Oryctolagus cuniculus: one gene and its partner. The protein of the gene in region 1 binds, or shares a complex with, the protein of each later gene. Links are inferred from orthologs where the notes say so. Each region holds a gene or a part of one and is shown on either strand. Other genes may lie near its edges. The genes, in order: RIMS2 and UNC13A.

Evidence for each region.
Region 2: the proteins of RIMS2 (region 1) and UNC13A are in contact, whole or in part, in a crystal structure (PDB 2CJS), measured with the Rattus norvegicus proteins. The link is inferred for Oryctolagus cuniculus from reciprocal best matches to the Homo sapiens genes RIMS2 and UNC13A. Residues at the interface, in XP_063118965.1 of Rattus norvegicus: Asp102, Gly103, Cys104, Ser109, Gln112, Val123, Leu125, Ser127, Asn128, Lys129, Val134, Met135, Trp136; in NP_074052.2 of Rattus norvegicus: Tyr23, Ile36, Trp65, Leu69, Ile70, Trp71, Asp72, Thr73, Met74.

What each region holds. Positions count from the first base shown.
Region 1 is NC_091437.1:129,438,724-129,453,164, reverse strand, and holds the end of RIMS2 (regulating synaptic membrane exocytosis protein 2), read right to left. Parts: intron 13,334-14,441; coding exon 13,192-13,333; intron 10,193-13,191; coding exon 10,080-10,192; intron 9,752-10,079; coding exon 9,650-9,751; intron 7,117-9,649; coding exon 6,977-7,116; intron 6,550-6,976; coding exon 6,331-6,549; 3' UTR 6,257-6,330; downstream 1-6,256. UniProt on the Homo sapiens protein: Rab effector involved in exocytosis. May act as scaffold protein. Plays a role in dendrite formation by melanocytes.
Region 2 is NC_091447.1:65,394,365-65,409,195, forward strand, and holds part of UNC13A (protein unc-13 homolog A), read right to left. Parts: intron 13,614-14,831; coding exon 13,584-13,613; intron 13,342-13,583; coding exon 13,242-13,341; intron 11,984-13,241; coding exon 11,866-11,983; intron 11,053-11,865; coding exon 10,929-11,052; intron 10,467-10,928; coding exon 10,393-10,466; intron 10,050-10,392; coding exon 9,995-10,049; intron 9,441-9,994; coding exon 9,405-9,440; intron 9,012-9,404; coding exon 8,804-9,011; intron 6,544-8,803; coding exon 6,049-6,543; intron 5,845-6,048; coding exon 5,736-5,844; intron 5,111-5,735; coding exon 5,064-5,110; intron 4,925-5,063; coding exon 4,846-4,924; intron 4,419-4,845; coding exon 4,413-4,418; intron 4,180-4,412; coding exon 4,108-4,179; intron 4,025-4,107; coding exon 3,805-4,024; intron 2,680-3,804; coding exon 2,452-2,679; intron 2,238-2,451; coding exon 2,096-2,237; intron 2,022-2,095; coding exon 1,852-2,021; intron 1,197-1,851; coding exon 1,081-1,196; intron 863-1,080; coding exon 699-862; and 3 more. UniProt on the Homo sapiens protein: Plays a role in vesicle maturation during exocytosis as a target of the diacylglycerol second messenger pathway.

The DNA of each region.
Region 1 (14,441 bases):
TTGTGCTAAGTCTCTTTTCCATGTTACTTCATTTCATCCTCTCAACAGGTGAGCCAGGTATTATTATTATTTCCCCTTCCCTCATTGTATAGATGAGAAAACAGAATAAATGACTCAATCAAGGTTACATGACTAGTGAGGGAACACATACTTGAACTTGGGCATTTTTATCCAGAACAAGCACTTTTAGCCAACATGCTATTCTTCTTCCTATCAATTGGGAATAATGTCATTGAATTTAAAATATTTGAAGGACAATCTGTGGGAGAGGGACAGGCCGTATTTCTAGAAGGCAGTACGAGTCCCAGGAAGTACAGAATACCGGAAGGGATATTTAGGCCAAGCGTTAAGAAGAGCCAGATACAAACTATGGAGTGAAATGTGAAATGCATTGCACAGTTTATTTCTCCATCCACTTACCAAGCAGGGGCTGCATGCCCACCATTAAGGGTTTTGCCTAATGTTATGAGGTTGCCATAGGTAACCTCAATGATTCCTCCAATATCTTACAACTTCATTGGACTTGTTGACCAAATGTATTAAGACTAATGACCTCAAGCAGCAGGAACCCCAACTAACTACAGCTAAAATGTGTGGGCTGTCTTGGAAGAGCAAAGAGGCAGCTGGTCTCAACCATAATGGAATCAAGAATGTGACATCTGTAGGACTGTCTCTCCAATTCTTGCCTCCAGTTGACTTTGTGGAGTTTCTTCTATCATAAATGAACGTTTATCATACATAAGAAAACAGCAGCCACCAACAGTTCCTCATTTCTATTTTTTCTATCTAATAGTTTTTGTCACTGGAGATGGACTGCCTCTTTGGCAGGAAAGCAAAGTAAATAAAACAAAAATGAACCTTCACAGGCAAGGGCACAGGTCGACCTAGTTTAAGAGTCTACAACTCCACATCATTCAATAGGGACAGAGGAATGGGATTATTTACAACGTGACAGATCTCATGGGATCAACAGGGATAGATCAGAAAAGGAAACACACTGAACCACAGGGTGCCCTGTCCCAAGGCAAAAAGACAGGAATCTGGTGCTCAAAGGACAGAAGGGCACTATAGGCTTTTTGATTCAATCTTATGCAAATTATGAACATAAACTTCAGGACTCGGGAATCTTCTAGGTTGATGATAGTGATCTTTCAGGCAATATCTGGAAGGGGCATTCACAGTTAAGGCCCTACAATATGCTCAGGTCTTAATCTTGAAAACAGAACCACAGGCTTTGGTTCCTGTAGTCAAAGACCTAACCATTTAATGGGATTAAGGGCTGAGTCGCACTCAGAACCATGTTAGATATAATTACCTAGAGAATTAGCTCTTACTAGTTATCTCATTTACAAAGAGATCTCACATCGGGTACAAGCAAAAAGCTCTCAGTGGTTTTAGAAACAGCCCAGGATGGAGAAATCTGTATCTACTTGTTCACTATTCATTCACTCACAAGCACTGTAAGAGATACTGTAAGATAAAAAATCATAGACTCATGAGTCTGTTCTCTCAAATACCTCCCTCGCTCTTCTCTCTGGAATATTCTGCATCTTAGTCTGGCCTCCTGCTACCATCATCTCCTGTTATTTAACCCCTATCCATCATGCTAGATGTCAGCCTCTGCTGCTTTGATTGGGTTAAATGCCGTGTTGTATCCTCCCTTCTATCCTCAGGGCTTCACGTTAGGCAAGTTACCACACTTGTCATCTTTCATTGCCTGTATCTTCTTCAGTAGAATGAAATGTTCTCTTCACTATGCCTGGACTAGTGCTTCAGAAATAACAGACTAAACATTGCTTGACAGTTATTTATTGAGTACTTATGTGGTAAGCATTGTTCTTGGTTCTTAGAGAACAGAAGAAAAAAGGGGCCAGTGCTATGCTGTAGCAGGTAATGCTTGTGGTGCCAGCATCCCATATGGGCACCAGTTGCTGGCTGCTCTACTTCCAATGTAGCTCCCAGCTAATGGCCTGGGAAAACAGAGGAAGACGGCCCAAGTACTTGGGCCCCTGCACCCACAGGGGAGACCTGGAAGTTCTTGGCTCTTGGCTTTGAACGTGTCCAGCTCCAACCATTGTGGCCATTTGGGGAGTGAACCAGCAGATGGAGGATTTCTCTCTCTCTCTCTCTCTCTTGCTCTCTTTCTCTGTAGCTATGCCTTTCGGATAAATAAATTTTTTTTAAAAAGAATAGATATGGTTCATAAAGACGCTTATATGTTGGTTAAGTGTTGATTTAATGAAAGCAGAGTATATAGCTCAAACTCCTTATTTCCCAGATGAGGAAATGAATTCCACAGCAATTAAATGACCTGAGTCAAACCACATGGAAAATTTGAGTGGCACACTTTTTAAAAAATTGGTTCATTTACTTAAAATTTTCCTCCTGCACACTGCTTCTCATTTTATAAACCAAAGGTGGGTGTGTGAACTTCTATTTATTTAGTCCATGGATGCCAGCAGGACATTGAGGGAGGGCACCATGTGTTGAGTGAATGTAAACAAACATGGACAGAGTATGATTTTATGTGTACAGAACAGTAAAGGTTTAGTCTGGGATAGGCACACAGCATTGGTGATTTCTTGCCCAATTCTGTCACAGACCTTACAAGAGGGACCTTCATGCTCCTTATTGTTGCTTGGGGAACACTGGCACCTGGGGTCCCTGGAAGAGTGAAGGACTTGGCATCAACGGCAGCGACAATTTTAGGGTTCAGTCGGGAACTGCTAGTATGGCTCAGTTCTGAGCTGGGAGTCATGAGAAGCACTACCATAGGCCACTTTTGAGAAAGACAGGCTTTTCAAGAGAAGGCATATGAGAGAGGCAAGGGGATTTTTTTTTTTTTTATCATGGGAGTGTATGAACAGCCAAGATATAGCTCACTAGAAGAGGGAGCAAATCCTGAATAATGAAATATGGGAGTGGTTTGGGCAACTGGACTGGAATTGAGTCCTTGGGAATGGAGGAAATGGTTGTCTTGAAGACCGGAGAGCACTAGGATTGGGTTTCAGTTGGATAACTGGGAAGTGAGAGACCAAAGTAGCTCTTACATGTGGACTCTGGGGAGGGTGCCAGGGATGGGACACCGCTGAGGCCCCTTTTTCTCTCATTTTGGGGAAACGCCCTAGAAGGATATGGAGAAGCTCTCACCCATTTACACTCACACAGCGGAGCCAGGCCCTGGCAGCATGCGCTCCTCACCCCACAGCGCTGGGCAGAGAGACGCAGAAGCATACATCACGGCCACCTCTGGCATCTTTTTGCCCAGGAAAAGAGCAGAGCCTGTGCATGATTCTTGGTAACTGCCATCAGTCACGGCCATGACTAACTCAGAATCTCACTCCTCTCACCCCCATACAACTTGTCACTGAATCATTTCACCAGAGAACACCTCAATCCAGTAACAACCTTAAAACAAAACAAAACAAAAACAAACAAACGAAAAACAACCAGCAACTTCCAGTGAAGTGAGCAGAGTCTTTGGTACTTGAAGAAAATGCTCTCCTGAGGGCTACTGGCTAAGACCAGCAGTCCACTTATGCCATGCAGAGGTAGGAAATGACGACTGTGTGGTCTTTAAATGACAAGCGAGTTTAGGGACATGCTGTGGCAGGCTGGGGATGTGTGGGAAGAAGTCAGAGAAAGCACTGCACACAACATCTGTAAAGAAAATGTTTTATTGAAAGTGTTAATACCATCACCAGAATGAATTTGATTTACATTAGTTGGTGTTTGTTACAGGACTAATCTGCCCTTTTTTTCCCAACTGAAATTCCCTTTACTTTGAAAACATACTATGTACAGGGCAGCAATGGTCACTGGCATGGTGCTATTTACATGACTAAACCACAAGTTGAGGTGCAGACATGTGAAAATTAAAAAAAAAAATACACCAACTTTTAAATAAATACTGCATAATGACAAGTATGTACAAATATTCCATTCAGTCATGTCCTTCTTATTAAAATTAGAAATAATTTGTATAGGAATATGCACAAAAGATTATGTGACTGCATCTTGCTATCAGGAGAATGGTGAATGTTTACTCTAAGGGGTAGTGTAGACACTACAGGCCTATTAAATCAATTGTTGCTGGTACACAGATGTCTAAATTATTTCAATAAAGTTTTATCCATTCTTTTAACAACTTTACCTGGGTCCATCATAGATCACAGAACGTCAAGACACAGTCTCGGTGTATTTCATATTGCACCACATAAAGAGAAGGCATTTTTAGTGATACTCATTTTTAACTTTTGCACCATATCAAGCACAACAGTTTTTAATGGTCAGCACTGAATTAAAAAAATAAAATAAAAACAAAAGCAAAGAAAAGAAATTGTGCATGGCCTTACTTTAAATAAATGGAATGTATATGTGTTTCAAAAGCTATTATAAGAAATTTAAATCAATCTGTAAGAATGTATTATTAAAGTGTATGTCAACAACCAGAAAATATGGGTGGCTGATTACGTTAACCAGTGACGTTTCCCCCAGATAGGGGAACTTAGGAGAAATTTGACCTTGCAGCACCACCCAATGGTAATCACTGTCTGTAAAAGCAAAGGCAGGGGTTTTGACTTTAGGGATTTGCACATAGACTTTTGGTGATGGCATCAAAGAACTATTAATAGGCATACTGACTTTTTTTGAGTCACCTAAAAATTGGAGCTTTAAAATTCTTGCAAATTTATGTTTACTATATATTCTTTAGAAATATAATTTGTGAAAAATTGAATTTCACTACAGAAAAAATGAATTAATAAACAGCCCTGTGTTTCAGGGCTCCAAATTTTTAGCAGTGTTTCTATACACATAGTAAATGGAAACTGGCTAAAGAAACTGCTTTAACTGATTAGAAAACAAAACAAAACCTAAGACCTTCTATAAATAATACTTTAACCCCTGTATGAATAATGCTGGTGTTAAAATAAATTCATTAGACATTACAATGGCCACATGATTTTAGGATTTTCCTGTAAACTCAACTTTGAGGGTCAACAAAAAATTACCATGCACTGTACAAATAAATTGCAAAAGTTCAGATATCTTCTTTGTCAAATACATGCTGACTTACTTCAATTTACTCCCAAGTCATGTTGCAAAATCCTTTTCAACATGCTTGAAATAAAAGAAAGCTCTTAAATAGTTGTTTTCCCTTGAGAAATTCATAAATTCAGAAGCTTTGATAGCTCTGAATCAAACATGGGGTATAAGAGGGGATCAGATGAAAAATTTGTAACTTTTTAGTACAAGATTCACTCTGGTAGGGAGAAAGAAAAGAGTAAAAGAGGGAGAAGAGGAAAGAGAGAGAAGAGGAAGGAAGATGCAAAAAATTTGCACATATGGAACTTCATAAGATTTGTATATTTAACAGGGAAATAAATTGAATCTATTACACTCATTTGTCACATAAAGAGAATTTTAAGTATCTTCTAGAAAGTACTTTCATTTTGTAATGTCTGCCAAAACACAGACTATGATTAAAGAATAAAACATGGTGTGTTCTTTGTATCACCCTGTTGCATTCTCTTCCCCTTTTAAAACCATGCACTAGTGAAATTTATTTTTAAAAATAATATAAATTGTTGAAAATGGCTGATTTTTTATTGTTTTTTTTTTTTTTGCAAGTTGCAGCCCCAAGAAAATAATTTAAGTATTCAGCTAATCGGTGTCCATGCAAAAAGAGTTTCTTTAATTTCATTCAGGACAGCATTGCCACAGAATCTTGTTTCCCGAGTCCAGAGTCTCTTGGCATTAGGGAATGACGGGTTGACAGGAGCTACCGAGTCTGCCACTGTCCCTGCTGGACTGACCGCTCAGGTTCACCATCCAGAGGGGGGCTGATGCTTTGTTCCTGACCACTTCTTTGGTCTTCTGCTTTTCACCTGATGCTTCCTAGAACTTCTCTCCTAGATCTGTCACATAGCTTCATGGCTGTACAGCTCCATTTCTGTGGCATAACGGGGCTTTGGGTTCAGATAAATGAAGAAAAAGGTAAGATAAAAATATAAAGGTGCCGTTGAAAAGGGCTTCTGTTGCATGAAACTGACTGATTCTTTGAGATTAATCCATGGCTTCAGATTGGACCAAAAATGAGTGTCATTGAACTCTAAACCTGATAGTTCTTCATAGTTCTGCTCTTTCACCTGAGGGCCTTCGTTAGGGCACAATGTGTGCAACTTCCTCTGAGAACACAGGATCGCGTGGTATCCCTAGAAACAGGCTCAGAAGACACAACATTAAGCATGCAGTGTTACCAGGGTTGGCGACCTGTGATTTTTTTTTTTTTTTGTAACGCTGGTTGCTGTGACAACAGTTTTACAGCTGCTATGAACGAGAGTAAGAAGGTCCAGTTGAACTTTCCAGAGATGACTGGGAAGCTCTTCTCGTCAGAGGGGCCAGAGTTGGATCTACTAGGGAGGAAGGGGGGAAAAGTTTGAACCATCCAATCACCATATTGGATAGTTCCAGTTCATCTAAAAGTATCTGGGCCACTCCCATGAAGGATTTGTGATCCATGCGACCATAATCTCCCCAGACGATAATCTGTTGGCAAAATTAAAAATAATGTTAGCATAATCATGTATATAACAAAAGTCTTGTAAAGTACTCTGAACAATAAAACACATTCAGTTAGTGTTCCAACATCAAAGACAAACTTAAGTAGTGGCATTTGACTAATGGAGTAGCTTTCTTTAACTTTTGGAATCCAAAAGTACATTAGAACTGTCCCAGAGTGCTAAGATCATAAGCCGTGCAGGGAGATTGGAGTTTATGTGTGATGGGTGTTCGCGAGTCATTTAAAGAAGAGGACAGTGTGTGTAGTTTTATGGTACTGACCACTGCTTCGATGTTTCCAACATATTTCAGTCGTGAGAAACAGAAAACAATGTGACGGAGAGATAACTGGGTCTAAAGTCCGACTCTGTGAAAAGATGTTCTGCGGCCAGGGGATACAGAGCTAAGTAAATACCTGTAGAACTTTTCCTTGGGGACTCTCTTCAAAAGACAACAGCTGCTGGTAAAGTGGTTCCAGCGTTTTTCTTGCCACTTTTGTTTTCTTTTTGGCTATGCACACTCCGTTATCTAGTAGATACACCTTGACATACGGTGCTTGGGAAAGAGAGCACAAAGGAGAGAGCACGTGATGAGCTGTGGCGGTGGCATGCCCAGTGTACTCCTGGCTGACAGCCGCAATGGGTTAATCTCTGGCTGAGAGGGTGAGCAGCCATCAAAAGTCACCGGCCTTCCCACATTATTGAAAAACTACTCAATAGACAATTGGTAACTGTCAACCATACAGAGAGTCTTAGGCAATGTTGCCAAAACCTCTGACTTCATTATTATTTTGCTATCAACAGGTTACATAGATTTACAAATTGCATTCAATGAGAAATGCTTCCAGTTCCAACAGGACTCAAGAGAGATGTCTTACTCATTCTTCAACTCATCAACACATAAATGTAAGTACACCTGCTTTAACTCACCCATCCTCACACATCTGTGGGGAGCAGCTCGGACTGGACTAAGTTACTGGAATTAAGACTTATTCTATGCATCTGCTCTCCCACAATATGGCGCTGGGAGAGAAGAAAACAGCTTTTACACAGCTGCCTCCAGTTCAACCAATAAACTGTAGGACTTGCTCCTGATTGGAGAGCAGCGTACTCGGCGTGTGGGCAGCCGAGTTAGGATTGGCGGAGGAGGACTATAAAGGAGGAGAGAGACGGCATGCACCAGGAACATCTAAGAGGAACATCTAAGGGGAACGCCTGTGCAGCCCCCGAGAGAGCCGGCCGGCGGTGTGCCGCTCCCCTGCGGAAGTGGGGAATGTGGCCAGGGGGAACTGCCCTTCCACGGAGGTGGAAGGGATAGTAGCCAACCCGGGAAGAACCAGCAGCAAACCCGGGGAGGGCCGAGCAGACGAAAGAACAGCGCAGAGTCCTGTGTCGTTCCTCCACGAAGACGGGGAGCGACATAATGGTGCCGTGACTCGGATATGAAGCCTAGGCAGGGCTTAGTGTCGTTCCCCCACGAAGACGGGGAGCGACACACATCACTTATTATCACTCAAAAGCCTTTGCTTGTTGGTGACCATGTGGGTACAAGACAGTGATGGGGTTTTATGTGTTATGTTGAAAGTAGCTGGGAAGAGGCAACTAATTATGAATTCTGCTTAGCATTTAACTGGAAAACATAGTAACAGAATCATTTCCTGGCATGTGTAAATCATGGTGTTGTTTACAGCAGAGAGCTGACTAGCTCCCAGACTTATACAAAGGCAATTCTCCTAATCACCACTTCAAGGCTGTACAATGAGTAACATACAGTAATGAATAACATAATTCAAAATGTCTGCAAGAATAGGGAAGTTAAGAGATTCAAAATTACAAGTCACCAGTGAAGGTGCTGAGGCTAAGACCTGCATTTATTTCAGAATCCTCCTGAGTGATTCTTTTATACATCTGCTCCAACAACTTCTACACAATGCATTTGGAGTCACGGTGACATTTGCCATGGCTTCAGGCATCTTAGACTGTAATGACATTTCAGCAGGAAATATGTGGCATAAAAATTTATAACAGTGCCTCTTTTTGTTTATAAATTATAGGAAGCGAAAGTCTTCTCATTAGAATACCCAGCAGACAACAGGTTCATGCTCTGGGCGGGGCCTGCACCGGCTTTTACTCTAATCCCAGAGCACTAGCGAGTCCTCAGAAGAAATTCTGAAGCTCTGGATCAACGGAAGAGTAACACAAACTCCAATTCACAAGAAAAAAGAGCTTTTTATGTGCATGTTGTGATGAAATGGATTATCCAAATGTGGCAGCTTTGACTTTGCAGTGGTTTCTACCACGTGTGATTATAGGTAACAATTAACATTATTGTATGCTAAACTGATCTTCTGTATATAAGGAGAATCAAAAGTGAAGCTTGATGTGATTGGAAGGGGAGAGGGAGTGGGAAAGGGGAGGGTTGCAGGTGGGAGGGATGTTATGGGGGGGAAGCCATTGTAATCCATAAGCTGTACTTTGGAAATTTATATTCATTAAATAAAAGTTAAAAAAAAAACAATTAACATTATCTCCAACAGCTCACCCTCGTTGAAATGCTCACTTATGGGGCTGGCACTGTGGCACACTGGGGTAAGCTGCTGCCTGCAGTGCCAGCATCCCTTCTGGTCACTGGGTTGAGTCTGGCTGTCCCACTTCCGATTCAGCTCCCTGTAATGTGCCGTGGGAAGGCAGTAGAAGATGGCCCAAGTACTTGGACCCCTGTACCCTGTGGGAGACCCAAAAGAAGCTCCAGGCTCCTGGCTTCGGATTGGCCCAGCTGTGGCTACTGCAGCCATTTGGGGAGTGAACCTGAGGATGGGAGATCTCTCTCTGTCTCGCTTGCTCTCCCTCCCTGCCTCTCCATCCCTGTTGCTCTGTAACTGTGACTCTCAAATAGACAATCTTAAAAAAAAATGCTCACTTAGGATAAACACCATGATTACTACAGCCCCAAATCTGTCAGACAATTCACCCATCTTTGAGTATCCTTCATTGTCTAAAAAACAAAGTTTTCAGCATTTAATCCAAAGTTTGTTAGTGGAAATAAGACAAATTATGGACAAAAATAGGAAAATTTCTTCTGTTTTTACCTGGCAGTGTCTTGGAACCTGGTTTTACAACAAGGCCACGGGCCCGAATGATTTCCACCTCCAACTGTCCCTTTTTGTCCATCATTCCTACCTGGATGTCACCTATGGGCATGGGGAGAAGGAACAAACATGTCTTAATATACAAACGCAGCAAGAAAAATGCTAGTGCTAAAGACTATGGTATGACACCATTGATCATTTCCTATATATTTTCTTAAAAAATTCAAATAAATTTAAAATTTTAGCCATGATGTCTTCCTTCAAAAAAGCAGTAAAATTATAACGGAAAAACAGGAATCTTCCTTACTGTTAAAATCTAAGAAACTTTATTCTTGCTGATAATATTGTTAAAGACTCTATGAAATTTAGAGAATGTACTTTTTAATAGCATAACATGAAAACAATGAAATAATGTGGCAATAATTCTTACCCATTGCAGGTGTCGCCAGGGTCTGGCGTCCTACCAATTGAGCAGGCCCAAGGCCATCCAGGAAATCACTGAATTGGCTGTCAGAGGCCAGGCGGACACCCGGGAAAATCAGACTGAAAGCAAAACAACATATGGGATTAACCCTTCACTATCCATATATTCCAGGCAAGCTCAAGTCTCCCTCCAGCCTCCTTCATGTGTCAGGATAGTCAGTGTGGCTGACTGCCCACTTAGACTTATCCCCAACATCCCACTCTGCTTCCCTTGGCTCTTCCTCCACGTTGGCTAGCAGCCCCTGTAAGCCACCAGAAGCACCTGTCACACTGGACTGCGAGCTCCTAGTCTTTCTCTCCTTTGGTCTGGAGGACAGGGCCTGGGATTTCTCTGTGAAACCACTCGGTCTACACATGCACTGAGCACTTACTTCACGCCAGGCTTTATCCTATTTAATCCACCTGGCTTAGCTGTGAGAGCGGTTCTATGGTTTATCACATTTTATAAATGAAAAAACTCTTCTGGATCATTCCCCTCCATGTAGAAATATGCTGTTGATTCTGTCACTTGACCAAAAAAAAAAAAAAAAAATAATCCCTTTCCTGACTCTACTTCCCTCTCTCCAGCTACAATTCCTTTTCTTGTCTGGGAACTCCTTGCAAAACTTCTGAGTGCTGTAGTCCATTTCTTTCCTTTTGAAACTCTAATCATTTTTCATTTTCACCACTCCACTATAACTTTCCTGTTCTGATCATTAGTCAAACTTACCTAATGACCACAGTGGAAAGCCCAGCTGTTATTATTCATCTAACTTAATGTATTAGCAGTACTGGGTATGTTGATCCGCCCCTCTTACTTGGAACACCTTCTGCACTTCTTGGATTCCATAGCCTCCTAAGTTTCCTCTTTCTTCCTTCTGCCACTCTTCCTTAGTTTCCTTTGCCAGTTCTGCCACTAGATACAGGAGCTCTATCCTTACATTTTCTTTATGTCTGAATTTCCTTGGTGATCTCATACAATCTCAAGGTTTTAAATGCCATCTCTGCTGCTATTACCTAGACTGCTGTCTCCAGCTCGGGCCTCTCTTTTGAGCCACAGAACTGCATTTCAACTGCTTAGTCTACAGATCTGCTTGGAAATCTGTATAACAGGACAGAAAACTTAACCTGAAACTCAAGCGAAACTTGAATCCCCTCCACAACAAACTCTGGTCCTCTCAGAGGATTCCCATTTTGATAAATGATAACTCTGTTCTTCCAGTTGTTCAACCTGACATTGATCTTTCTTCTTTCCCGGTTATAGACTGAGTTGTCTTCTCCCAACATGCGTGTGTTCAAGCTTGAATGCCCAACCTGACTGCATGTGAACGAAGCTTTTAAAGAGATAAAGCTAAAAGGGGTCATAAGAGGGCAGCCCTATTCCAATATGCCTGGTGTCCTTACAGGAAGAGGAGACAGCAGTGGAAGCAGAGGCAAGGCCACGAGAAGACAGAGGAGACCATCCTCTGTATCTCTCTTCCTTGCTTTATTTTTCTCCTTAGTACTTACAATGCCTAATCTCCTATATATTTTATTAGATTTTCTTGTACATACATACATTTTACATTTTTTTTTCTTGTTTATTGCCTATCTTCTCCATTATGTGGAAAGTTTGATGAGGGTAGGGTCTTTCATCTGGCCGGCTCACTGCTAGATCTCTAGCTCCTAGAGCTATGCATGGGATATTGTAAGCACGTAATTAATAAATACTTAAGCTCAATCAATTAAAATGAAGCTCAGAAAAATCAAATAACTTGCTCAATGTTCTACAGCACCAAAAGAAAATTAAACAACCAAACAGATGAGAATCTAGGTATATATGATTGAAAAACTCTTGGCCTTAAGTATTGAGACTGACTTCCTTGTATGACTTACAGCCTCAACTCATGGCAGGGTAATTGAAACCTTAGAAGGTATGGTGATATATTTTGGATAAATTTATGAATATTCATCTCATTTCTCCATTAAAACTATAAATATCTGGAGCTGGAGCCACAGTTTAAAGGTTTATGCCTGTCACAGTATCTTCCTAACACAGTATCGTACAAAGGTCAGTGTGCTTGATGAACATCTATTTTTCATTTGATCCTTCACCTCATTATAGACTTCCTTGATGAACTTCCTTGATAAAATCGATTTCTTTCCCCCACCTCAACTGCTAAATATTCAATTAATAAAAATGCTTCAGTCTATTTCTAAAAGCACATAAGTCTTTATAAATGTATGGAAGCTATCTATGCCTCTTATATTTACATAGTTGTGCTAGACACACAATCCTTAGGGTACACCTTTACTGCTATGGCAATAGCTCCTCTGGCCTCACATCCATGAACTGGCAGCATCTATGTTGTTAACCATCTAGTGCTCCCATGGAGATGATACAGTGAGTTCAGTACACTCTACTTTCCTCTCTCAATGTTCTTTACAGTCCCATTCACAGATCTCTAGTTGCTAATTGCTGCTAATTTGTTGGTGACAGAGCTACAAACTCTTTAAACTGCTTTAAAAATATCTCTGGAAGTTGATTCAAAGGAAAGCTCCATGATAACTAAAAGATAAAAAGGCTTATCAACTTTCTTGGTGGCATTTCTTTTTGACTACTTAACACAAGTAAATTAATACTAAATAATTAGAATTATTTGCTACTGCATCATAAAAACTAGGTATCAGAAATTCACATGTTTTTAGTAATGACTGTTAAAGCAAAGATTTAAAAATTAGTCTTGTTTGCATGGTGTGGTATGTGTGCTTATTATTTTTGTGCTTTTATATATTATTTAAAGCTAGGGCAAAGTATTTTTTTTTTTTTTGCATGTAATGTGAGAGTCACATTTTAGCATCTTGCCATTAAAGCAAAACACTTTATCCCAAAATTTATTTCCCTGGATATAAAAAGCCAGATATGTCACATCACCCAGTGGGAGGTGAGCCAAGTTCTCTTCACAGGAAATCAGTCAGTGAAAACTAGGACGGTGCCATGAAGCACGTGGGTTGACTTTTATGAAAGCAGAGAGTGAGATCGAGAAAAGGGTCCCTGGCAAGACTTGGAAGAGGCACACATCATGGCCAGCCTCACTCACTTTCCTTCGGAGCTATAGCTGTTCATGCTGCCGTCTGTGGATTCTCGGCTGGCTTGGCGAGTCATCCAGTTCCTCATCTCCACTGCCAGGCCTGTCTCTGTACTTCTTTGGACAGTGCTCCGTAGTTTTTTCCCACCTGCTTCTGCCAGGACAGAAAACAAAAGGTATCACAGTTTTGCCATCTCTAGCTGCTAATGAAAAATATCACCCAATGCTTTGAGATCCTCAGATGAAAAGAACTGCCTAAATACAAAGAAAGAAAAGGTAGTTAAAATTTTAAACAATGTCTTAGATGGAAATTTTCTAAAAAAAACTTTAAGCGCAAAATACTATTGTCTTATTTCCACTTAGAGCAGGGTTCAGATTGTTAACATAAGAGAAAAGAAGATACAACCTAAGGAAAAGAAAATAAGCCTTTTTTCATTGTAATATTTAAATGTCAGGTTAATTTATGCCTATTGTTTTTATTTCTATTGTAATAGTTAAATGTCAGATTACCTTATGTATACTTTCTCCCCTTTCTTTTGTCCTAGTGAAAGAACAAGGCCTTCCTACTATTTACAAAGAACAGATGGTGAGTAATCCTCCAACTCTAGCCTTAGTTTTCAACACAAAAAAAATCTGTTCTTTTGCAAACTGACAGATATCAGAAGGCAAGAGAGTTATACAAAGGAAATAACCTTATTAGACAACAGCCTCACATTTGTTGGTAACTTTCACAGATTCTCGTAAGGAGTTGCAAGAATCCAGCAACATCATATGAAAGTGCTTTTAATTCTGAGCCTTGGAGAGTCCTGTCATCAAGGGTCTTCCAACAGCTGGGAGATGAGGTTTACTTGCAGAGGTCGATCAGAAGACCAGTGGGAGTACTACAGGTGCGGCAGAGGCATTCTCCGGAAGTGCTATCTGGAGAGGTTAGGGAGGAGAGAGCCTCGCTGAGGAAGTGGATTTGGATTGGCTCTGTAAAATGGGCAGACTGGGACGCAAAGAGGAGTGAGAACGCAGTGTCTCGAGCAAGGGAAACAGAATGGGCAAAGGTGTAAAGGTGGGGATGACTGTGCATTTAAGGCAGGTGCAATGGCCCAAGTACATGAAAGAGTGATAGGGGAGTGGATTAGACAAGAAACAGCCAAATTACAAAGGGCCTTCCATGTTGGAACGTAGAGTTGAGAGACTACAAAAGCTACAGCAGGAGGGTGATAGTCCAAATTATTTGGCTTAATATATTTCTTGCTATGCCTAAATATTTA
Region 2 (14,831 bases), on another chromosome or scaffold:
GCCGGGCCAGGCCGCCCCCCGCCGGCCCCCGCCCCACACTGACCCCGAAGTTGGAGGCGGCGAAGCGGTCGGAGGCGGACACGTTGGTGGAGGCGGTGGTGTGCGCGTAGTAGGCGTTGATGTTGGCCAGCAGCGTGCTCATGACGGCCGGCGCCCCGGGGCACATGTACTTGGAGCACAGGCAGGCGAAGTGGCTGCGAGGGGGCGGCAGATGCTGGGCCCGAGCGGGGCCTCCGAGACGGCCCCAGCACGGCCCCCCACCGCTGTCACCCCCGCCACGCGCACTGCTTCCCTGGCCCTGCCTCTCTCACCGCTGTCACTCACCCTGCCACGCCCACTGCCCCTGGCCACGCCCCTTACATCATGGCTTAGTAGATGGACTCACTCAGGGGCCCCGCCTCTCACCGCTGTCACTCCCCGCCACGCCCACTGCCCCTGGCCACGCCCCTTACATCATGGCTTAGTACATGGACTCACTCCGGGGCCCCGCCTCTCTCACCGCTGTCACTCACTCCCCGCCACGCCCACTTCCCCTGGCCCCGCCTCTCTCACAGCCGTCACTCAACCCCACGCCCACTTCCTCCCTGGCCCCGCCTCTCTCACCTCTGTCGCTCACCCCACCACGCCCACTCCCAGGCCCCACCTCCCTCACTGCTGTCACTCCCACCACGCCCACTGCCCCTGGCCACGCCCCTTACGTCATGGCTTGGTAGATGGACTCGACGCCGTAGCGCATGGCGAACTCGTCCACGATCTCCTGCGCCGTCTCGTCGTAGTAAACCTTCCAGGCGTCGTCGCCCTTGGCGTCCGGGATCCGCACCACGCCGTTGTTCTGCACGTCTGTCACGAAGTGGAACAGGTTCTGCGGCCACGGGGGAGGGCGGTTACGGCCACGGGCGCCGGCGCCGGCGCTGCTGTCCGTCAGCTCACGTCCGTGCAGCCTCGCGGCCACCCGGGATGCTCCACCCACCCATCAAGGACCCGAGTCCCCGGACAGGGCTGCAGTTGGGGCGGGCTTCCCGGCGGAGGGGGCTTCCTCTGCGTGGACAGGAGGCCCGGGCGGCGGCCGGCGGGGCTCACCTCGTGCAGGCAGGTGTACTGCACGTGGTACGGGGCCACCTTCTCCTCGCCCTTGATCTCCACGCTGATGTGCAGCCGGATGGCGCCCGACACGGCCGACTTGTCCGTGCGCTTGTCTGAGGGCGAGGGCGTGGGGGCACGTGAGGTCCGCAGCCCGGCGGCCTCCGTGTGCATGCGTGTGCGTGTGTGTCCTGTGTGCACGTGTGTGTACGTGTGTGCACGTGTGTCTGTGCGCGCGCATGTGTGAGGTTCCACGGCCCCTTGGACCCCTAGAATCAGACTCTGGGTCCTCACCTCGTTGAGCTCCCAGCCTTGTGCCTCCTCCCTCGGACTAGAACGTCTTAGGCGCTCTGCCCTCAGACCGGGGTCAGTGCCAGGGTCTCGGCCTCCCTCCTCAGTCCGGGGTCCGCGCCTCCCCCCTCAGACCGGGTCCCCGGGATTCCTGGGGTGAGCCCCCCTGCCCCACCGGAACTCAGAGTGTCCTGGGCTCCCTCAGCCCAGACACCTGCCCACAGCAGCCTGGGGCTCGGGGGCTCTGCCTCCTCCCTCGGGCTGGGAGTCACAGACTTGGCCTCCACCCTCTGATTCGGCTCCCCCACCAGACTCCTCTGCTGGATCCTTGGGCCCCGCCCCGCTCCGCCCTGAGCCCCGGCCCCCCCCCCCCCGCCCACCCAGGTTGTACCACACAAGGTCTTTGATCTCTGGCTGGCTCCCTGGGCTCCGCCCCGCCCCTCCCGGGCCCCGCCCACGCCCGCCCCGCCCCCTGCTCACCCAGGTTGTACCACACGTCCATCTCGCCGCTGAGCGTGCGCACCTCGATGATCGTCTGCCCCAGGAAGTCGTCGGACTCGCGCTTGAACCGCTGCTTCACGCGGGACTTGATGTCATCGTCCTCGTCCCACACTCGCACCTTGATGCGGTCCGAGGAGTTGTGGCACTCGCTGCGGAGCGGGGCGGGGTGTGGTCAGGCAGGGGCGGGGCCGCCGGGAGCCCCACCCCCAGGCCGGGCGCTCACAAGTGGAAATTCTCCTCCCACACAGGGTTCAGGTTCCCGTAGATGGTCTTCGTGCGCTTCTTGGTCTTCCCGACCTGCACCGTGACGTAGGGGTCACTGGACCCCGTCTTGTCCTTGGCCTGCAGGCCCTGGGCACAGACCACTGGAACACACACAGGACAGGGGCCGGGGCTAGGCACGGGGACGAGGCCTGCTGGGCGGGGAGCCCTCGCCGCACGCCCTGGGCCCGAGGTCCCCAGAAGTCCCAGTCCCCGCTGCCCAGGGCGTCCCCTGCCGGCCGCATCGCGCTCAGCGCCGCCCTCGGACACCGGGGCTGGGCGGGCGCGCCCCCTGCTGGCCGCCGCGCGCGTGCGCACCAGTGATGCTGATCTTGGCCGACCACTTGGACGTGCCGTCCAGCACGCTCTGCTTCACGGCCTTCATCTGCTGCGCGTGCGCGCTCTTGCTCACGGCGAACACCTCCTGGATGAGCGCGAAGATCTCGGGCTTGTTGCGCTCGCGGATCTTCATGCGGTCCTTGAGCACCATGATGATGTTCTGCGTGCGGTCCTCCGCCCCGTGCTTGGAGCTCTTCTCCGCGGCGCCTGTGGACACGGCCGCACTGTCCCGGGCACCGCCAGCCCCGCCCCGAGGGCCCCGCCCACGCCGAGGCCCCGCCCCGCCCCTCCGGCCCCTCCCCTCGGCCCCAAGCTTGGAGCTCTTCTCCGCGGCGCCTGTGGACGCGGCCGCACTGTCCCGGGCACCGCCAGCCCCGCCCCGAGGGCCCCGCCTCACGGAGGCCGGGCAAATACCGAGGCCCAGCCCAGCCCACGCCCCGCCCCTGCGGCCCCGCCCTGCCCCTCTGGCATGACCCAGCCCCCTCCAGCACCTCACCGCCCCCTGAAGTCCCACCCACCTCTGCTGTCCCACTCCTCTGGTCCTGTCCCACCCATTATGGCCTTGCTCCACCCCGTCCCGCCAGGCCATGCCCTGCCCTGTCGCCCTGCTGCCACTGACCCGCCCCTCCGGCCCCGCCCACATCGAGGCCCCACCCACCCCTCCAGTCCCGCCCCTCGGTCCCGTGCTTGGAGCTCTTTTCCGCTTTGCCTGTGGACGCGGCCTCACTGTCCTGGGCACCGCCAGCCCCGCCCCCAAGGGCCCTGCCTCGCCGCCCTCCAACCCCGCCCATGCCGAGGCCCCACCCCGCCCTCTGGCCCCGCCCTGTCTCATTGCCTCCGCCCCACCCCAGGACTTTGAGCCCTGCCCCGCCTCTTCACTGCTGCCCTGCCCCTCTGGCCCTACCCCGCCCCATTGCCATGGCCCCACCCCCACCCTGCCCCACCGCACCCCACTGCTGCTGCCCCGCCCCTCTGGCCTGGCCCCACTCTGCCTTGTTGCCCTGCCCCACCCTGCCCCGCCCCACTGCCGCAGCGCCAGCCCCGCCGGCCCCGCCCTGCCCCGCCACCCCTCCCCTGGCCCCGTCCCACTCACACTGCCCTGCCCCTCTGGCCTGGCCCTTCCGTGCCCCATCGCCACAGCCCCGCCCAGGCCTCGCCCCCGTCCCGGTCCCACCCCTGCCCTGTCCCGGGCCCGCCCCGCCCCACTGCTGCTGCCCCGCCCCTCTGAGTGGTCCCGCCCCATCGCCCCACCCCGCCCCTCCGGCCGCCTTCTGCCTTGTTGCCCCGCCCCACCACTGCCCTGCCCCGCGCTTCCGGCCCCGCCCCACTCACGCTGCAGGCAGTCGGCGTTGAGCAGGTCCTGGCACTTCTCGTGGCACTTGACCCCGCACTCGGTGCAGCGCATGCCCTGCCTCGCGATGCCCCACAACAGCCCCTCGCACTCGTAGCAGTAGGTGGGCGTGGTCGCCGTCCACACCTCGAAGTTGTGCGGCGTGGTGCACGAGATGGGGTAGATCAGCGCCTGCAGGGTCTTCTTGTACACGTGGTTCTTCTGCGGGGGAGGGAGGGGCTTGTGCGGCGCTCCCGGGGTGGGGGGGGGGTCCCAGCCCGCCGACGCCGCCGCGGCCCACGCACCAGCTCCTCGTTGTTAAGCGTGCTGGACGCCAGGGCCGACGTGATGCCCGCCTTCCGGGACTGCACCAGCGACTGTGCGGGCCGCAGGCGCCCGGGGGTCCCGGGCAGCGAGGGGCCAACGAGGCCGCAGGACGCATTCGCAGCCACGACCGCCCGCCGGGGGCAGCGTCAGAGCAGGAGGCGACAGAGGATCCCGGTCAGAGCGGGTCCTGGGCGCCCCCTCCCCGCGGGGTCCTCCCAGAGCCCACGGGTGGGTCAGGGCTGCATGGAGGGGTCCGGGGTGGGCGGAGACCCAGGTCACTCACCATGGCCTGAAGGGTCCACGCAGCACACGGGGCGGAAGTCAGACCGCGTTAGCCGCGGAGGTCGGCTTGGCCAGCCCGGGCCTCTGGTCCCCATGTCCCCTCTGGCCCCCGGCCTCCAGCCCCAGCTCCAGCCCCCAGGTCCATCCCTGGCCCCCGCCCCCCACCCCGCTCCTCGGCCCCAGCCCCCCGCTCCCAGGTCCACCCCCAGCCCCTGCCTCCGGCCCCCAGGCCTGCCCCTGGCTCCCAGCCCCCACCCATTCCAGCTCCCAGGTCCGCCCCCTGCCCCCCCCCGCCCCCAGGTCCGCGCCCAGGCCCCAAGTTTACCCCAGCCCCCAGGTCCGCCCCTCGCTCCTGACCCCAGGCCCCCCGCCCCTGATCCGCCCCTGCAGTGGGGGGGCGGGGTCTGTGCCCCGCCCCGTCCGACGGCGCTCACCAGGTCGCTCACGAGCGGGATGGGCTTCCTCTTGCGGATGTCCGGCATGCTGTCGATGATGATCAGGCCGCCCCCGGGGCTGCGGAGACCCAGGGCCCCGCCTGAGGCTCGGCCGCACCCGACTGCCCCTCGCCCCAGGACCCCACGCTGGTTCGAGGCGGGCATCGCGGGGTGGGTTGGGCGCTGCTCCCCGCCCCTCGCCCGGGGGCCCCACTCACCCGCCTTTGAACCACAGCGAGTTGGACATCTCTCCTGCCCCCCGAGCCTGCGGGACAGTCGGATGGACGGGTGTGGTCAGCGTGGCCGGGGAGCAGGAGGTGCAGGGCGTGGGCGGGGCCGGCCCCGTGTGGGCGTGGCGTGGGCGTGACCAGGGGGCTGATGGGACTGGGGCTGGCGCATGCGCACGGAGCCCCGGGCAGGGCCAGGCTGGTAGAGGCATTGAGGGCGTTTAGGCTGAGCACTGGTGAGGCCAGCAAAGGCGGGACAGAGGCAGGGTGTGCACAGAGCACTGGGCGTGGCCAGGGTGACCACTGGGCGTGGCTTTGGGCGTGGCTTAGCTCGGATGGGTGTGGTATTGGGCATTGGGCGTGGCCAGGAAGGTGTGGGTAGGGTGTAGGGTGTGGCCATGCTGATTTGAGAGGAACACTGGGCTGACGGAGCTGGCGTGGGCGGGGCCTGGATGGTGTAGGTGAGGCCTAGTTGAAGTGGGCGGGGCCGGCCCAGCATGCACAGGCCGTGGGTGGAGCTGGTCTGGCATGGGAGGGGCCGGGCAGGAGTGGGAGGGAGTGTGGGCGGGGCCTGGCTGGCATGGGCGGGGCCAGAGTGGGCGGGGCGTGGGGCCCGCATGGGCTGGGCCTTCTGGCATGGGCGGGGCCGGGGCGCTCGCTCACCTCCTGCAGCTGCAGCCGCACCTTGTTGAAGGCCCGCAGCCAGTTGGCCTTGGCCCTGGACATCGAGTCCTGGCCCTGCCGGTCCTCCTCGTCCTCTCGGGGCCTGAAACTGAGGCAGGGGCCGCGCGGGCTCCGGGCCGGCTCTCCGCGCCTCCCGGCCTGGGCCCCCCACTCCGCCAGCCCCTTGGATGCCCTCCCTCCTGGCCCGCGGCCCCCCCCTGGCTGGCCCAGCTGCCCTGACCCCGCCTCCGGCCCCAGCCCTGGGACCGCTCCCTGACCTCTGACCTCCCCAGCCCCCAGCCCCCGTGGCTACCTCTCCTCGGCCGTGGGGGGCTCAGCCGGCTCGGCTCTGGGCAGCTCCTCGGGCGCGGCGGGCGTGGCCTCAGAGGGCGGGGCGGGGGCCGTGTCCTCGCCGGGGGCGGCCGCCGGGAAGCTGATTCGTTTGAAGTCCTTGGGCTCGGTCACGGCCGCCTCCGCGCGCTGGGCGTAGCTGCCCACGTCGTCCGGCACCTCCTCCTCCTCCTCCTCCTCCTCCTCTTCTTCCTCCTCCTCCTCCTCCTCCTCGGGCAGCGGCTCCTCCTCCTCCAGGAAGTCCTCCAGGTCCTCGTCCAGCTCCTCATCCTGGTCCCAGCGCGGCGAGTCTTTGCAGCTCACCGAGCTGTGGCACGAGTGGTAGGAGTCCGGGTCCCGCTCGTCGCCCAGCTCCGAGCCCCGCAGGCTCTGCTCCTCGGGGTCGAAGTCCTCGCTCAGCTGCGAGCTGCCCTGGCTCAGCTCCCCGGAGGAGGCGTAGCGGCTGCTGCCCGTGGGGCTGCGGGACGGCGGCGGGGGCTCAGGATCGGGGGCCAGGCCGCCGAAGCCCCCCCACTGGCGCCCAGCCCCGCCCACACACGTGGACATAGCACGGATCCTGCAGCGGGGGTGGGGCCGCCTGAGCCCCGCCCACGCCCCGCCCTCTCTACCCACACCCCGCCCACGCCCTGTGGACAGAGCGCCCATCCTGAGTGGGGTTCCCCTCGCTCCCCTTGGAGGCCCCCGCCGGCCTCTCCCACCGCACCTGCCCTCACCCCACCCCTCCAGCGTCCTCGCCGCTCCCCCAGAGCCCACCCCCGGGCCTTTGCACCTGCTTCACCTGCCCAACTCCACACAGGCTTTGTCATGTCTTCGGGGGTCTCCTGCACTCCCCGACCAGCTCAGGCCCCGCCCCCAAGCACGGACAGGATGAGCCGGGGCCACCCTCCAGCCACTCAACCAACATTATCACCGCCGCTCTTTTTTTTTTTTTTTGACAGGCAGAGTGGACAGTGAGAGAGAGAGACAGAGAGAGAAAGGTCTTCCTTTGCCGTTGGTTCACCCTCCAATGGCCGCCGCTGCAGCCGGCGCACCGCGCTGATCCGATGGCAGGAGCCAGGATCCAGGTGCTTTTCCTGGTCTCCCATGGGATGCAGGGCCCAAGCACCTGGGCCATCCTCTACTGCACTCCCTGGCCATAGCAGAGAGCTGGCCTGGATCACCGCCGCTCTTAAAAATACCACCCGTCTGGGGCCGCGAGGTGTAGCGGGTAAAGCCCCCGCCTGCAGTGCCGGCATCCCATACGGATGCCGGTTGGAGTCCCGGCTGCTCCACTTCCCATCCAGCTCTCTGCTGTGGCCTGGGAAAGCAGTAGAAGATGGCCGAAGCGCTTGGGGCCCTGCACCCACGTGGGAGACCCAGAAGCAGCTCCTGGTTCCTGGCTTCAGATCAGCTCAGCTCCGGTCATTGAGAGCATTTGGTCAGGGAACCAGCGGATGGAAGACCTCTCTCTCTCTCTCCCCCTCTCTCTCTATAACTCTGCCTCTCAAATAAAAAAAAAAAAAAACCCTCTCCAGGCTGTGACTCGGTCCCCTGGCCGCCAGGATGTTGTAGGGACCGGCGGGGGTGGGGGGCGTGCGGAGGTCTCCCTCTGATCCTGGGCTGCCCCTAGGAACAGCTGGGAGGCAGGAAGGGACCAGAGCTCCCCCTGCCGGTGAAAATTCAGAGTGCACACCGGCCGTGTCACCGGCCCCCCCGGGCTGGGCGGGGCCTGCTTCCCTGAGCTTGGACCTGAGACTAGGTGGTCTCCAAGACTTGGGGACCTGATCCAGTCGGGGCCTCCACCAGGCTCCTCGGTCCTCGCCCCCTCCAGGCCCTTCCTGCATGACCCGGTGCCATCCAGCCCTCCAGCCTCACGCTGGAACTCGCTTTCCCTCTGGGGAGGCCTCGTTGGTGGGCTTCCATGCACCCTCCTCCAGGAAGCCCTCTGCAGGCCTCCCGCCAGCTGAGCCCCACGGAGCGGGAGAAGAGTGTCCGTGTCTGGCCTGTCTCCCCCAGAATGTCCAGTGCCGGGCAGCCTGGGCAGTCTCCCTCACCCATGGCCACGGCCCAGGGTCAGCTGAGGGCCTGCTTCCTACCCCCCACTCCTTCCCGGGAAATGTCAGCGCGGGCAGACTCCCGGGGAGGCCCCACACACGTCAATCACCCAGCGTCCGCGCTACCGCCAGCACCACAGCGCCCCCTGCTGGACACCTGCTAACGCTCGTCCTCGCGGTGGCCACGCCCTGCCCTCTCTGGGCGACGGTTCGGCCACACGGAGCCCATTCCAGACGCCACCTGTTCCCCTGTGGGCCCTGCGGGACACCGCCCGGTGCCTTCCGAACACTCGGCCTGCCTAACACCGCGTTGCTCAGTGTCCAACCTGCCCATCCGGCCAGGGCGGGCGGGGGCGGGGGGCCGGAGCAGACTCCAGGCTCACGGAGCAACCCAGCGCCGGGCAGTGCCTGGCCCACAAGGGCCAGAGGACCTGGATTCAAGGGAGTGGAGACGGTCGCCGGGTAAACCTGTGGCCGCCCCTGACTCACCGTGGCCCGGTTGTGCGGGCGAGAACGGCGGAGGCCATGCCCACCTGGAGGACACCACGCCCACCGGGCAGGGAGGCCACACCCACATTGTAAGACCAGGGCCCATGGGGTGCGGGTCCACGCCCACACTATAGGCCACGCCCACCGGGAGGCCGCCCGGGCCACGCCCACGGCGGGAGGCGGGGCCGCCGCTACCTGAGCGCCCGCGGCTCGGAGAAGTCGTCGTAGCTGGGCACCGAGTCGCTGTAGGACTCGCGCGAGCCCAGGGGCGGCGGGCGCACGGCGTACTGGTGCACCGAGGCGTTGGGCTGCGACGTGGTGTAGTAGGGCGGCGGCATGCTGTTGCTCGTCTCGCTGCGATAGTCGCTGTCGCGGTCGTCCACGGCGCTGTCGGGGTCGTCGTCTGGGGGGGCGGGGTGAGGATGGGGAGGGGCGGGGTGAGGACAGGGAGGGGCGGGGTGAGGACGGGGAGGGGCGGGGTGAGGATGGGGAGGGGCGGGGTGAGGACGGGGAGGGGCGGGGTGAGGATGGGGAGGGGCGGGGTGAGGATGGGGAGGGGCGGGGTGAGGACAGGGAGGGGCGGGGTGAGGATGGGGAGGGGCGGGGTGAGGACGGGGAGGGGCGGGGTGAGGATGGGGAGGGGGCCGAGGAGGGGTCGCGAAGCCTGCTGAGCCCTCAGCCTGGCCCCAGAGGCAGAGCCACACCCCCACCCGAGCTGAAGGACTAGCCCCGCCCCGGCCCCGCCCCCGGCTCCCGCGGGGTGGGGCTGGCGCCGAGACCCCCGAGCCTAACTTACTCTGCTGCTCGCCCCAGCCGAAGTAATTCCAGTTGCCTGGGGAGGGAAGGGGCAGGGGCGGTGAACAGCGGGGCGGGGCGTAGGGGCGCCCCTCCCCCAGCCGCGAGTCCCTCCCCTCCACCCTGACCCTTCGCTCAGCTCATGGGAGGATGACGGGGGGGGGGGGAATTCCCGATTTCCCGTGAGGCCACAAGGCGCCTCGGGGTGGACACACAGGGTGCGGGGCGTGGGTGCGTGGATTTCTGACTTCGGGGTCCGAGGCCAGCGCCCCCCCAGCCTAGGAGCGCTCAGCCTCCAGCCTCCGCCGGGGACCCAGCGAGGGGCGGCCAGCAGCCCGAAGGCGCACAGCGTGGGAGGCAGGGGCCGCGGGGAGGACCCACTCCCCGTGGCCAGTGCCCGCGGCAGCCCAGGGACTCTGCCCGGCGCCGACACTGGGCCCGGGCGCGCTGGCTCCAGTGCACCTGCCCGGGTCTCCCCCCCCCCATGGCCCTGTGCGCTAGGGAGGGGGCGCGGGAGCCCCTCCAGGGACCACGTGTCACCCCCGAGTTGCTGTGGGGGCGGGGCCAGGGGGCGGGGCCCCGCACACTCACAGCACTGGTTGCTGGGCGCTGGCAGCGGCTTATCCTGCTCGTCCGAGAACGAATACTGCGGGAGAGGGCGCCTGTCGCGGGGCGGCCGGGAGGCTGGGGGCTTCCTGGCCCCCGGGCCTGTCCCAGCCTCCCCTCTGGACAAGGGTGCAGGTGCAGCCGGTAGGCCCGGTGTCACGGGCCCCGGCACCCCCGGTGGGCGCCGGTTCGAGTCCCAGCTGCCCCACTTCCGACCCAGCGCCCTGCTGTGGCCTGGGGAAGCAGCGGGTGAGGGCCCAGGAGCCGCAGTGGCCGGAGCTGGGAGCCCGCAGAGGGTGACACGGAGCCGAGTCGGGACCAGGGCCAGCGAGTGGAGGGGGCGGGAAGACCCGGCGGATCCCGGCCCAGCCGCCAGCGCCCACCTCGTCCTGGTCGCGCATGGCGTTCAGCTGCTCCAGCTTCTTGGCCCAGTAGCGCGCCTCCTCCTCCGGGATGTCTGCAGGCAGAGTGACCAGTGAGCCCGGCCCCGCCCCCGCCCAGGCCCCGCCCTAGCCAAGCCCCGCCCTAGCTGAGTCCCGCCCCAGCCTGGCCCCACCCCGGCTCCAACCCCGGCCTGGCCCCGCCCCTACTGAGCTCCTGGCCAAGCCCCCAGCCTGGCTCTGCCCCCACCCAGGCCTGGCCCTGCCCCAGCTGAGTCCTCGGCCCCGCCCCCAGGCCTGGCTCCACCCCGACTGAGCACTGGCTCCGACCCCAATCTTGACCACACGTTGGAGGAGCCCTGATCCTGCCCCCAGGCCTGGCCCCACGCCGGCTGAGTCTCCGCCCCCTGTCTGTCCTGGCCCCGCCCTCCAACCTGGCCCAGCTCTGGTGCTCACCCCAAGCCCCCACCCCACCCCGGGCGCCCCCCTAGAGGGGCAGGTGAGCCGAGAGGCGGGGCTCCCGCGCCTCAGGCACTGACCCAGGGGCAGCTCGAAGCGCGTGTCCAGCAGGATGCGGTGGAAGGTGGGGTCCTTGGTGCCGCAGATCTCGCTGTCGGCCATGATGACCTGGGAGTCGAGCGTCAGCCACTCCCCGGGGCCCTCCTGCGGGACACGGTGGGGGGTGGTGCACCTGCTGCACCTGGCGGCCCAGGTCACGACTCAGTCCCAGGGGCCCCAGCCCGGCATGGCCACGCCCACCTCAGAGGAGGGGGTGGGGGAGCCTGGCTCCTCCCACTGTGCAGGGAGGACCCCCCTCTCCCAGTTCAGGGCCAGCGAGGCACTGAGCAGACGGGGCCACTCTGACCCCTGGCATCTCCGTCTCTTAGGGTACCAGGAACCCGGGGTCCCCGAAGGCTTCGCATGGACTGTCACACCTCCTTCCTCTGTGCGCCCTGAGCCGGGAGGAGCAAGAGTGGACACAGGCAACCCCAGGCCTGGGAGGTCCAGGCCAGGCCAGGGGGAGGGCTGGAGGACCCAGGGGGGAGCTTGGAGGGCTTCCTGGAGGAGGGGCCACAGAGGGTGCACTGGGGGTGTGGCCAAGGGGGCCAGGTGTGCGCAGGGTCTCACAAGGGGGATCCCACCGAGGTGAGGAGGGCTTGGAGGGCCGAGGCCCAGGGACTGGGCTGTGGGGGCGGGGAGGTGACTGACAGGTTCTGGTCCAGCACCTGCTGCCCAGCTGGGACCCACGATACGTGGCCCCTTACTCCTCCTGGGGCCGTAACATGTCGGAGCTGGGTCCAGGGCTGCCTAGCTCCGGCCGCGTGTCCCTAGTGCCTTGCAGCTGGAGGGGGACCACGTATGTATGTTTCGGCCCCCAGGAGCGACTTGCCGATGGGGCCCTTGACCAGATGTGAGTCCTTGCTCCTTGAGCGGAACGCAGGGTGTAGGCCAGGAGCCCCCGGGCCCTGTGCCCACCTCATTGGACTGGCGGATGGTGCGCAGCGGGATCCACACGGTGCCCACCATGGTGTCCCAGATGAGGCCCTTGTTCCACACCTCCACCGTCAGCCCCAGGTCCAGCCGGTTGATCTCGCTGTGGGGAGAGGGGAGGTCCCCCCCGGGGAGGGGACGGAGGCTCAGAGGTCAGCCCAGTCCCCAGGACAGCAGAGCGCGGCGGGCGCCTCCCCCTGCTGGGCGGGCCGGGAAGGGGCCCCAACACCCCAGCAGGGCCACCAGGCGCGCCCGCGGCTCAAGCACTCCCCCTGCTGGCTTCTCACTGGAATGACGCCCAGGTGGGGGCCTGGGGAGCGGGAGACCCTGCGCGTGGGCGAACTCAGAACACAGAGACCCACAGCAGCGGCTGGCGCTGGGGCCTGGTGGTGAAGCTGCCACCTGCAGTGCCCGTGTCCCACAGGGGAGCCGGTTCGAGTCCTGGCTGCTCCACTTCCCATCCAGCTCTCTGCTGTAGCCTGGGAAAGCAGTGGAAGATGGCCCAAGTCCCTGGACCCCTGCACCCACGTGGGAGACCCGGATGGAGCTCCTGGCTCCTAGCTTCGGATCAGCTCAGCTCCGGCCGTTTCGGCCATCTGGGGAGTGAACCAGCGGAAGGAGGCTCTGCCTGTCTCTCTCTCTAACTCTGCCTCTCAAATAAATAAATCTTTTTTTATTTTATTTTATTTTTTTTTGACAGGCAGAGTGGACAGTGAGAGAGAGAGACAGAGAGAAAGGTCTTCCTTTGCCGTTGGTTCACCCTCCAATGGCCGCCACGGCCAGCGCACTGCGGCCGGCACACCGTGCTGATCCGATGGCAGGAGCCAGGTGCTTCTCCTGGTCTCCCATGGGGTGCAGGGCCCAAGGACTTGGGCCATCCTCCACTGCACTCCCTGGCCACAGCAGAGAGCTGGCCTGGAAGAGGGGCAACCGGGACAGAATCCAGCGCCCCGACCGGGACTAGAACCCTGTGTGCCGGCGCCGCAAGGTGGAGGATTAGCCTAGTGAGCCGCGGCGCCGGCCATAAATAAATCTTTAAAAAAAAATCACAGCTTGGGGCCAGCAGTCAGGGTGGGCTTCCCTGGGGAGGAGCCAGCTGGGGTGTGCGGGATTCCTGGGGCGGGTTCAAGCTGGGTGCGCGCAGGAGGCGAGGGGGCCCCAGGCGAGCAGGCGCGTGGGGGCGTACGGAGGGCTCTGGCCACTGTCCGAGGTCCAGGAGCCGCAGCCAGGCCTGGGCCGGGAGCAGTGGACTAGGACTGCAGGTTTTAAATTAGGCCCCTGGCTGCCCTGAGCAGAGATCGTGGGGGGTGGAGGGCACAGGAGGCAGGGCTGGGCGGGGCCTGGGCGGGGCGGGCGCTCACAACATGAAGTCCTGCTCCCAGCTGGGCTGGCTCCCGCGCACCGCCACGGTCGTGCTCTTCACATTCTGCACCTTGAGCGTCACGTAGGTGTTGAACTTCTCTGCGGCCGGGAGAGCGGGGTCAGCGCCGGGCCTGGGGATGGGGCTCCTGCACATCCGGGCCGCCCTGGGCAGCTCCGACCCGGCCCCGCGGGAACCCTGGCTCAGGGCGATCTGGATCCCCGTTGGCCCCGCCCCCCGCGCAGCAGGTGCAGCGGCCAGCTGTCAGTCTCCGCTCAGGCCCGCCCCCAGCCTCCCCGACAGACGGACAGATGGACAGCGCAGGACAGGAGACGGCACTCACCTTGGGCACCGTCAAACTTGGCTTTTTTGACTGTGGACAGAGGCAGGGAAGGGAGCAGGCGGGAGGGAGACGGAGACCCCGACATCCGGACAGGAGAGGGGGCGCGAGACCCCCGGGAGAGACAGAAACAACAGGACAGGGAGAGGGGCGGAGGCAGAGAGGAGGGGAGAGAGAGACACAGGCCATCAGACAGCGAGCCCCGGGGCAGGAGGGGGTGGGATGCTGCCCCGCCCGCCGAGCCCCCCCCCCATTCAGCAGGAGTCCTGGGCCTCCTCCAGGGAGTCCTCAGGATCGCCCCCGAGGGAGGAGGAAGAGGAGCATCGAGGAGGAAGAGAGACGCTCTCCCGTGGTCCCCTGTCAGGGGGAGGAGACGCGGTCCTTGAAGGTCTGAGTCCGTCCCACCTAGGGTCCCCAGGGCGGCCGGAGGGCACTCCGAGGCGGGGAGGTGAACCCGAATACTTGCCAGGGCCCCAGGGCTGAGCCTTGGGCCTCAGAGCCCCCACCCCGCGATCCACCACCCTGCGCCGCGCCTCGCACTCCCGCCTCGCCCACGCCCCGCCCCCTGCACCTGCTCTCGGCCCCGCCCACACCCCCGACATGCCCCAGGCCCCTCCCACGCCCCCACACCTGGTCCCGGCCCCGCCCCCGCCTCGACCAAGCCCCACTCCCTGCTCCTGGCCTCGCCCCCGCCCCGCCCCGCCCATGCCCCATCCCCTGCACCTGCTCCCGGCAAGCACCCCCCCCCGCCGGCGCCAGCCCCTGAACTTGCTCTAGCCCTGCCCCCACCCCCGCACCTGTTCCGGGCCCCCCGCCCCTCCTCTCCGCGTGCACATTTGACAAAGGCACCACAGCCAAAAGATGATTGGGGGGGTCTTCAAAAAAATCCACAGAAATGCAAATGCGGGGTACGGGGGCAGGGGCCAGGGACAGAGCTGCCATCGGCTGGGTCACCCCCAAAATGGCTGCAATGGCGGGGGCTAGGCCAGGAGCTCCACATGGGTCCCCGCGTGGGCAGAGGAGCCGGTACCTGCGCCTCCCAGGGTGCACGTGCCCAGGAGCCGGGGCCGGGACTCGAACCAGCGCGCTGACAGGGGATGGGGCACATGAGCAGGCGGGCAGGGGAAGGAGCTTAACCTGCTTGTGCCAATGCCCCCACCGGTGCTATTTGATGTCACCCAGGGCAGTGAGGTGGGCGCAAAGCAGAGGCCGTGTGCCCTGTCTGTGTCCTGTGCCCTGTCTGTGCCCTAT